2 linked regions of the Danio rerio genome follow. The protein of the gene in region 2 binds, or shares a complex with, the protein of the main gene of each other region. Links are inferred from orthologs where the notes say so. Each region holds a gene or a part of one and is shown on either strand. Other genes may lie near its edges. The genes, in order: drc8 and ccdc135.

Evidence for each region.
Region 1: ccdc135 (region 2) and drc8 share a complex: the UniProt entries of both Homo sapiens proteins name them as parts of the nexin-dynein regulatory complex. The link is inferred for Danio rerio from reciprocal best matches to the Homo sapiens genes DRC7 and DRC8.

What each region holds. Positions count from the first base shown.
Region 1 is NC_133192.1:12,696,526-12,701,035, forward strand, and holds the start of drc8 (dynein regulatory complex protein 8), read left to right. Parts: upstream 1-1,617; 5' UTR 1,618-1,633; coding exon 1,634-1,655; intron 1,656-1,965; coding exon 1,966-2,050; intron 2,051-2,180; coding exon 2,181-2,253; intron 2,254-2,342; coding exon 2,343-2,422; intron 2,423-4,408; coding exon 4,409-4,451; intron 4,452-4,510. UniProt on the Homo sapiens protein: Component of the nexin-dynein regulatory complex (N-DRC), a key regulator of ciliary/flagellar motility which maintains the alignment and integrity of the distal axoneme and regulates microtubule sliding in motile axonemes.
Region 2 is NC_133200.1:14,661,263-14,665,719, reverse strand, and holds the start of ccdc135 (dynein regulatory complex subunit 7), read right to left. Parts: upstream 2,868-4,457; 5' UTR 2,762-2,867; intron 2,642-2,761; coding exon 2,511-2,641; intron 1-2,510. UniProt on the Homo sapiens protein: Component of the nexin-dynein regulatory complex (N-DRC) a key regulator of ciliary/flagellar motility which maintains the alignment and integrity of the distal axoneme and regulates microtubule sliding in motile axonemes.

The sequences.
Region 1 (4,510 bases), on a different chromosome or scaffold from region 2:
CGTGTTTGTTGCTCGAAATGTGCCGCCGAGCAACATCCAGTGAATACTGGCACGGCCTGGCGCCCGGTCTTCTCGTGCACTCCCTGGGGCGAGGCGGCCTTTGAGCCCTAGGCAGGGAGCAAACAACCACCGAGGACCCTCAGGGAAACACGGGGGGCCGGTAGTGGGACCTCGCTGCGAGGGTTATGGTGGGTGGGAGTAGCGAGGCCCACTCATCTTCTATTTTAAACCATAGTTTCAAACTTTAGTTTACTATATAGTTTGAAATAGAAACCATGGTAACTGTTATGATTTAACTTTATGCAAAGAGCTTACAATGACCAAGAGCAACAGACCCGGATTCCGCCATTTTGAAGTGATAGCGATCGCTCGTCATTGCTGTCGCGATGGAAAGCAGCTGCTTTGTTTTTATTTAATTTATTCAAAAAGCGCGTTATTGTTTCCCAAATTGTAGATTGTCGCCTCATGGTAATTCTATGCTCTTCTGTGTCTGACTGTTGTGATGTTTTGCTTTGTTTTTCAGCTGAGATTTTGAGCAAAGAAGGACTATTGAAGACAACAGTTGAAGACAACCGCGGGTTATAATCACGAGCGCGCGCATTATAATGTTTTCGGGCTGTTTTCTGAAAGTGTGTCTTTGTTTAGATAAGTTTGCATGTCAAACTAAATAAACTATACTCTTTCTAAACACCTGTCTCGTTTTATTTGTCCTCTACAGCAATGCACTGTCATATAGGTCTGTTGAATGCATTTGTATGCAACATGGTTTGACAATACAGTAGTCTAACAAATAAATAGTTGTTATAAATGTACCTTCATTAGTCAACATTTGATGTTATGTTATGATTGTTATACTATATTTATTATTATTAATATGCTGTATGTTTAAAACCAGCAAATTATACTATATATTTAACATGTCATAAACTTACTGTTATTTTAACATTTGCCAAATAAAATGTCCTAAGACAAGAATGGGTGTTGTTTTGGTTTTGTGTCAACCTACTGTAGGTTTTAGGTTGACTACAGCAAGGCTACATACATCATAGGGAGTTTTTTTATAACGGAATAAATATTTCACGGAGATGATTTTACTGCGTGAGAAAACTGATGTGTGGCGTGAGAGCGTGAGAATACGGTCAATTGCGTGACTTTCACGCATTTTGGCAACTCTGAAATATTAGTGTTTGGACTATGTGATTATTTATTACTATAGCAGGTACTATTTAGCCTATATATTCTCCTGGATTGTATAAGTGCTTCTGATTTTTATTTAACACTGACATATTTATACACATAGGTAATTTAGACATGTACTCTTTATTGGTGCTTTCAAACGAATAATCGCGTTCATGCTTGTACAAAGGATGTATAAAAATGTTCCTTACATTCTTCCTTTTCTTCTGTTTTTTTAGTCAGTACTGAACTTTCCCCTTTTGTGAGCAAAAACTTTTGCTAGTCTATAAAAGATGTTCGGCATTTCTTATTTTGGTCGATTTAAACAATCATAAACAGCATAAACAGAAACATTTTTTTAAACTTCTGAAAGCGGTTCCTACGTAGAAGAACCACTTCCTGCCCTCCGTCTGAATGGCGAGTGTGTTCAGGTTACCTAGCAACCAGGGTTTTAGACATGGCGGACAAGTATAATGCAGGTAAAGATGCTACACGTAAAATGCTACGCTTTTTTTACGTTTGTGGGCTTACTGTATGCTTATTAATGGTGTTTGTATTCTCAGCATGACGTGTTTTTAAATACAGTTGCCATTACTACGACTGTTACCAGATCAATGATGTTTGAAAAGTTTTCAGTAACGTTGTTTGTTAACGTCGAGTAGTTAAAGTAACAGTAAAAGACCACACAGACAGCGAACATCTACAGCTGAATTGCTTTGTAAACACACACACACAAAATAAAATAAAAATGCGGAAAAACACAACGTTAATTAATGTATTTTTTATCAGAAAATATTATAATAGAAACTCAAAAGAGGATTGGGAATGCCTTTGATGTATTTGACCATGAATCCAACAAGACTGTTGATGTCAGGTAACGTTTCACTACGCTGTTTTTCAAAATATATTAGACCATTTGTTGATGTCTGTTAGCTTTGTTCTGCACATGTTCTACAAACAAGGAAGACTTCTTTAATGTTATCTGTCATTTTTCACCGTAAAAGGGAAATAGGCACCATCATTCGTTCACTTGGCTGTTTTCCTTCAGAAGCTGAATTGCATGATATCATCTCTGAGGTCAGTGGTTTTGTTTTGCCGGGTCATAAAATGCATCGCTCTTGTAAGTTGAGTAGATCAATAGTTATGAAGTGTCATTTCATTCACAGCTAGAAGAAGAAGAACCCACTGGATTTGTGCGCTATGAGAAGTTTCTTCCAACTATGACTAAGATCCTGCTGGAGCGCAAGTAAGACTGTAATGAAATAAAACAGTATGAAACCCAGATTATTCTTAATGTTTTTAAAAGGTCACAGACTGATAAATCACACAAATGCATCTATATATTTATATACAGTCTAACTCAAAATTATTAGCTGTCCTGTAAATAATTTTTTCTTACTCAGTTATTTTTAAATTGATATTCAACAGAGCAAGGATTTTTTTTTTCTTCTAGCAAAAGTCTTATTTGTTTTATTTTGGCTAAAATAATGGTCTTTAATAAAAAAAAAACATTTTAAGGTCAATATTATTAGCCCCCTTTAGCAATATTTATTTTCGATTATCTAGAAAACAAACCATTATTATACAATGACTTGCCTAAATACCCTAACCTGCCTAATTACCTTAATTAATGTAGTTAAGCCTTTAAATGTCACGTTAAGTTGAATACTAGTATGTTGAAAATCATCATCATGGCAAAGATAAAATAAATCAGTTTGATGTGTCAAATGAGTTATTATAACTATTATGTTTAGAAATGTGTTGAAAAAATTCTTTTCGTTACAGAAATTGGGGAAAACATTTACAACGGGGCTAATAGTTCAGGAGGGCTAATTATTCTGATTTCAACTGTACATGGATATATAGTGCTAGAAGATGAAGCCAAAATGTCCAAGGTATCAACTTGCACGGATCGTATAATTCCCACAGTTCCTACACACCCAATTGCAAGCACATAATGGCATGCATCCAAATAAAAGCAAACTTATTAAAAAATGTTCCGTATATACATCAACAATTGATGTAACGAGAAAACAAGGCGACACAGTGGCGCAGTGGGTAGCACTGTCAGCAAGAAGGTCATTGTTTAAAGCTCTGGCTGGGTCAGTTGGCATTTTTGTGTGGAGTTTGCATGTTTTCCCTGTATTGGCGTGGGTTTCCTCCTAGTGCTCCGGTTTCCCGCACAGTCCGAAGACATGTGGTATAGGTGAATTGAATGAACTAAATTGGCCGTAGTGTATGTGTGTGAATGAGTGTGTGTGGATGTTTCTCAGCACTGGGTTGCAGCTGGAAGGGCATCCGCTGCATTAAACACATCCTGGATAAGTTGGCGGTTCATTCTGCTGTGGCGATAAAAAATAAAGGGACTTAGCCGAAAAGAATGAATAAATAAGAAAACATTAATTAAACGCTTACCTTCTCTTCGATAACATTGAGGGAGCAGGGCTTTTTAAAATGTTCTGCAATCAATGACCAGAGAGCAATGGAAATATTTGGATTTCCCTTTTTCTATATTTGGCCTGTGTGAGCCAAAATCTCACTAATAAAATGTGTTGTCGTGTCTAAAGCAGACAAATGTTTTGCCTCTACATGTAGATGTGCTGGGGGTGGATTTAAACAATATGCAAGTTAATCGGCCGCTCAGGGCCCCAGTTAATCTGAGGGCTCCCAAATAAATACCTAGAATTATAAATTATACATATAAATATTATATATAACATTGCTTTCTATCATATTTTCCCCTACCTTCAATCATGGACCAGTTCAGCTGTCAAATCAGTAAAGATTTAGTTTTAAAAAACGAAATTGTTTATTTATAGTGAATTTATCTTAAGAAAACAAATGATTTAAAAAGTTTTATAAGGTGCTTTACATGTTATTATTATTTTGCATTAAGATAAAATGTAGAAAAGGAGATTGATTGATATAAGAAATAACAGCAAAATAATAATAAAAAAATTAAAGTACAAAAGGTGCCTTTTAGAACTTTTGGGTCTAATGGCTGGAACAGCTTAGGGCCCCAAAATCACTAAATCCATCCCTGAGACGTACAGTATATGACTATAAGTGTTTTAACATAATTTGCAGTACCTGTAAAAACTTAAAACTAAAATAAAATAAACATTTGATTAAATAAATATTTACTTTGCTAAAGTTTTTCCCACAATAAAATTTAATACAAAGCCTAGTATTAGTGATAATTGTAGCTCTGCTTCTTTCTTTTTTCTTGCAGGTTTCGTCCTATTACAGAAGACCTGCTCATACAGGCTTTTGAGGTGAGGCTGTTTTGTTTTTTAATTTTTAATGTGTGAATTTACCTTGTTAACATGTGAAA
Region 2 (4,457 bases):
AAGTTGAAGGCTAAATTATTTTAACAAAGCAAGAGTATATGTACAATTGGTCAGAATTATTAGCCCCTCTTTGAATTTTTTTTATATTTCCAAAATGATGTTTAATAGAGCAAATAATTTTACAGTATGTCTGATAATATTTTTTCTTCTGGAGAAAGTCTTATTTGTTTTAATTCGGCTAGAATGAACGCAGTTTTTAATTTTTTAAAAACCATTTTAGGGACAAAATTATTAGCCCCTTTAAGCTATTTTTTCGATAGTCTACAGAACAAACCATTGTTATATATAAACTATTGTCCTAACCATAGTCCTGATCAAAACTACTAAATGTTTTTTTTAATACAAGATTTTAACTCGTTAATTGCAGAATTCATAAATGATGTCACTGATTTGGCGAAAGAAAAACATAAAATTTCTTATTTTCAATAAAAAAAGGAGTTGGACTGGATTTTTTAAACCTTGTGCATAAAAACAGGCGTTGTTTTTGTTTACTCCATGTAGTTCGGAGAGCTGAAATGCATATTTTGATTTTTACAGAGACACCAAGGTAAGGTCACACACTCATAGACACAAATACACACTTTAATTTGCTGTTATATGCCATATAAATCTATCTAAAGTGTTAATGGTGCCAACTGATGTTCAACCTTAGAAATGACAAACTTTACTTCTTCCCAACACATCATTATATAGTGTCATAAGCCACTTTTCCACTATGGTGCTGAACCGTTCTTTATGTGGAACCATGCCAAACTGGACCAGACAGTACGGATATGGTTTCATTTTCCACTGTCGTGCTGCAACAAAGCTCTTTGAAATGTTACATAAAACACATCAGTAGTTGCCTTGGTAACGTAATGTAAACGGCTCCCTTTGTACAAAGAAATTTTAATAATAGCCAACACTAGTTTTTTTCATTTTAATATGTAAAAGCGAAAGCAACCGCATGACTTAACACTTACATTATGCCGCTCTCTTGTTTGGGCTACAAGTCACAGCACCCCTATTTATTTAGAGGTCAAATGTTGCGAGGCTCTGGGCAAGCTTTACTTGGAGTGAAAAACGACCAAAATGTATGGTGATGAATGAAAATGATTGGAGGGGAAATAAATAATATATTTCAAATATCCGTACAGAACAGAAAACAAAACAATGATAATGTAACAATAATAGTGCATTTGTATTATAGTGGCAGAAATATATTTTCACTAATAAGCACTTTCACTAATAAACTATATAGCACTTAAATAATTTCATATTTAACAATCAATTAAATTACACAGCAGTTTCATATCAAAAGTTTATTAAGATATAAAATAAACTGCATTTTGATGGTAAAATATAACCTTTTAAGCGATGTCTGTTATTTGTTTCAGTATTCAAACATTAAATAACGAATGCATCAAGGTAAATAAATAAAAATTAAATAAATTTGACCTCTTCCCAACAGGGAAAACCACCAACAATCAAAAGTGCGTGATTATATGATGTCATAGTTTGCAATTAATAAATGTGATTAATGGTAGTCAATGGGGCAGCCACAAACAGTAAATTAGGGAGAGAGAAAATCTTCTGCTGCACAAAAACTAACATTAAATAATAGGCAAGGTTGTTAATAATATTTTACATGTCCAAGACTGTGATTAAATGTTTTTTTAAAAATCCAGTGTACAATTACTTTTTATATAGAAAATAAGTAATTTTGTAGGGGGTTTTCACCATATCAGTGACATCATTTATGAATTTGGCAATTAAAGAGTTAAAATCCTGTAATTTTATAAGCAATTTAGTAGTTTTGATCAGGACTGAGGTTGATTAACAGACTTATGCAAAAATTAATAAAGAAAAAATATTAATCTGATGCACTTTTACATCAGTTTATTTCATTGGATGTTTTCATCACTAATATAAAAAAGAACAGTACATTTATTTTTGTTTTTTAATTTCAAAGCATTTTCTCCAAAATATGTCAAATAAAGATTTATTACCAAAAACCATTCTGCTAGCTGAAACACAGAGAACGTTATGACCAAATTATGACTCAAAATCACCCCAGAGTGGATGAAAACATTCTTAACATACATAAGGGACACAATATTAATTCGATTTTCTTTTAACATTTATAAATCTTTCAATAATAACAGAAAATATCCTAATCATAAAAACCTGTTATATGGAGAATTTATTTGTTGAGTGACCTAAAATAACACTGACCTGGACATGTTCCTAACACGTTTTGCACAGATAAAGACAAACAAGTATAGTGTAAAACAAACAACAAGCGCGACCCTGTTCTCTGTGCACTAATGTACCCTGTAGTTTTTTTGTTAAAGTGAAACAGTTTGACTTTGGTCTACTAGCCCACAGTTGATACACCACTCATGTTTATGGCTAATGATTACAAACACTGTAAACAGCCAGCGTCCATTTACGAGAAGCCCCTGTGGAGAAACGCGAGCTTTCATGAACACACGAGTTTGCCACATGCTGATGAACTTTAATAACCTCACATGTGTGGAAGGTCTGGAGTCAATCGTATGTTATTATTAAGGCTGCTTTCAAGTTCCCGAAACCCCTTCTTTTCTTCATCATCTGTCAGAGTCGCGTCTTCCTCACTCTCCATCTCCGGTAACACTTCCATCTAATGAATTAATAAAGCAATAATTATACAGACAGACGAGAGAGGAGAAAGCAGGTCGATGACTGAAACATTAAACACATACATCTTGTTACTTTTACAGTTAGCAGTTTAAAGACTTACTGTTTATAAAAGTGAATATACGTCCCTAATCTAAATTAACTGATAAACAGTAGATTAACGTAACGAGCGGCAGGAGCGTGAAACTTTTGTTTATGTTGCGCAATTTAGTTTCCATGGCGAGGGGAGACGTGACGTAACAGCGCGGGGTGGAGTCAGCTTTTGTGTTATTTTGAATTCATTTTAAATTGTTACATTTTTAAATCAGAATAATAAATCTTCAAGTGGATCCAGGACTTTTTTACTGTATCAGACTTGAAAAGCTGAGATGCTCACTCTCTGGCTCACTAGATTCCTTTTATAAGAGTTGAGATTCCTTTCTTGACTAAGTTACACCAAAGGCCTGCCTATTACATCTGCTGCTGGCAACCTGTAACTTCTACCATTTTATTAGAAGGTTTTTTTTTTCATTATTATAATTATTATTTTAATTATTATTATTTTTACCATCTATATCCAGCTATTATTATTCATTTATTTATTTTATTTTCGGCTTAGTCCCTTTATTAATTTGGGGTCTCCACATGGGAATGAACCGTCAACTTATCCAGCATTACGCAGCAGATGCAACCCATCACTTGGAAACATCCATACACATTCACTCACACACATACACTACGAACAATTTAACCTACTACCCAATTCACCTGTACTGCATGTCTTTGGACTTGTGGGGGAAACCGGAGCACCCGGAGGAAACCCACGCCAACATGGGGAGAATATGCAAACTCCACATAGAACTGCCAACTGACCCAGTCGAGGCTCCATTATTATTTTGTCATGTATTCAATTTTTTTATTTTGGCATTTATTTATTTATTTGATGTTGTTGTTTTGTTAATTGAGTTAATGAATGAGAGGTTAGGGGATGGGATTAACCATGGACAATACATTACCGTTACCTCTCACTATTTAATTTGTATTGTCAGACAAAAGACTAATAAAAAAGACTGAAAAAAATCTTAGGTGAGTAAAGAAACATCTAATTAAAAATATTTTGTTATAAATTACTGTCACTTTTAAACTATTGCAACATTGGTGGCTAAAATATACATTTATATTTAAATTAGTTAATGTTACTGTTCCTTTATTGTGGGTGTGTATGTAGGAGCGTAAATAAAATACTCAATATTCATTTGTTTTATTGATTTTTCTAAATTTCTTTACATTCTTATAAAAATTAAAAATTTTACCTCGACAATCAAAAATGCATAATTATATGGTGTCATGGCTTTGCAATCAAAAAAATTGGTTATAATGTAAGTCAATAGGCCAAAAACAACCAAGAACAGTAAATTAGGGAGAGAAAAAATGAAAACCTTCTGTTGCACAAAAACTAACAATACATCAAAGGCAATGTTGTTACAAATCTTTCACATGTCCAAGACTGATAAAAAGTTTAAAAACTCCAGTCCACAATTATTTTTTATATTGAATTGTTTTTTTAATTTTTATATTTCTTTACATTTAATTTTATGCTTTATTTAAAGTTTTAATTTCAGCCTTAATTTAAAAAAAATTATAATTATTTCCTTAGCACAAATTGTTACATTTATGATAATAAGTTAGACAAAAAAAAAGATTATGTAGACAATAATAATAAATAGGAGTTATTTTAGTGTCTGTGATATTTGAAAATTAGTTAAAAGTATTGTAAGAATAAGGAAAATGTAAAAAAAAAAAAAAAAAAAAAAAGACTA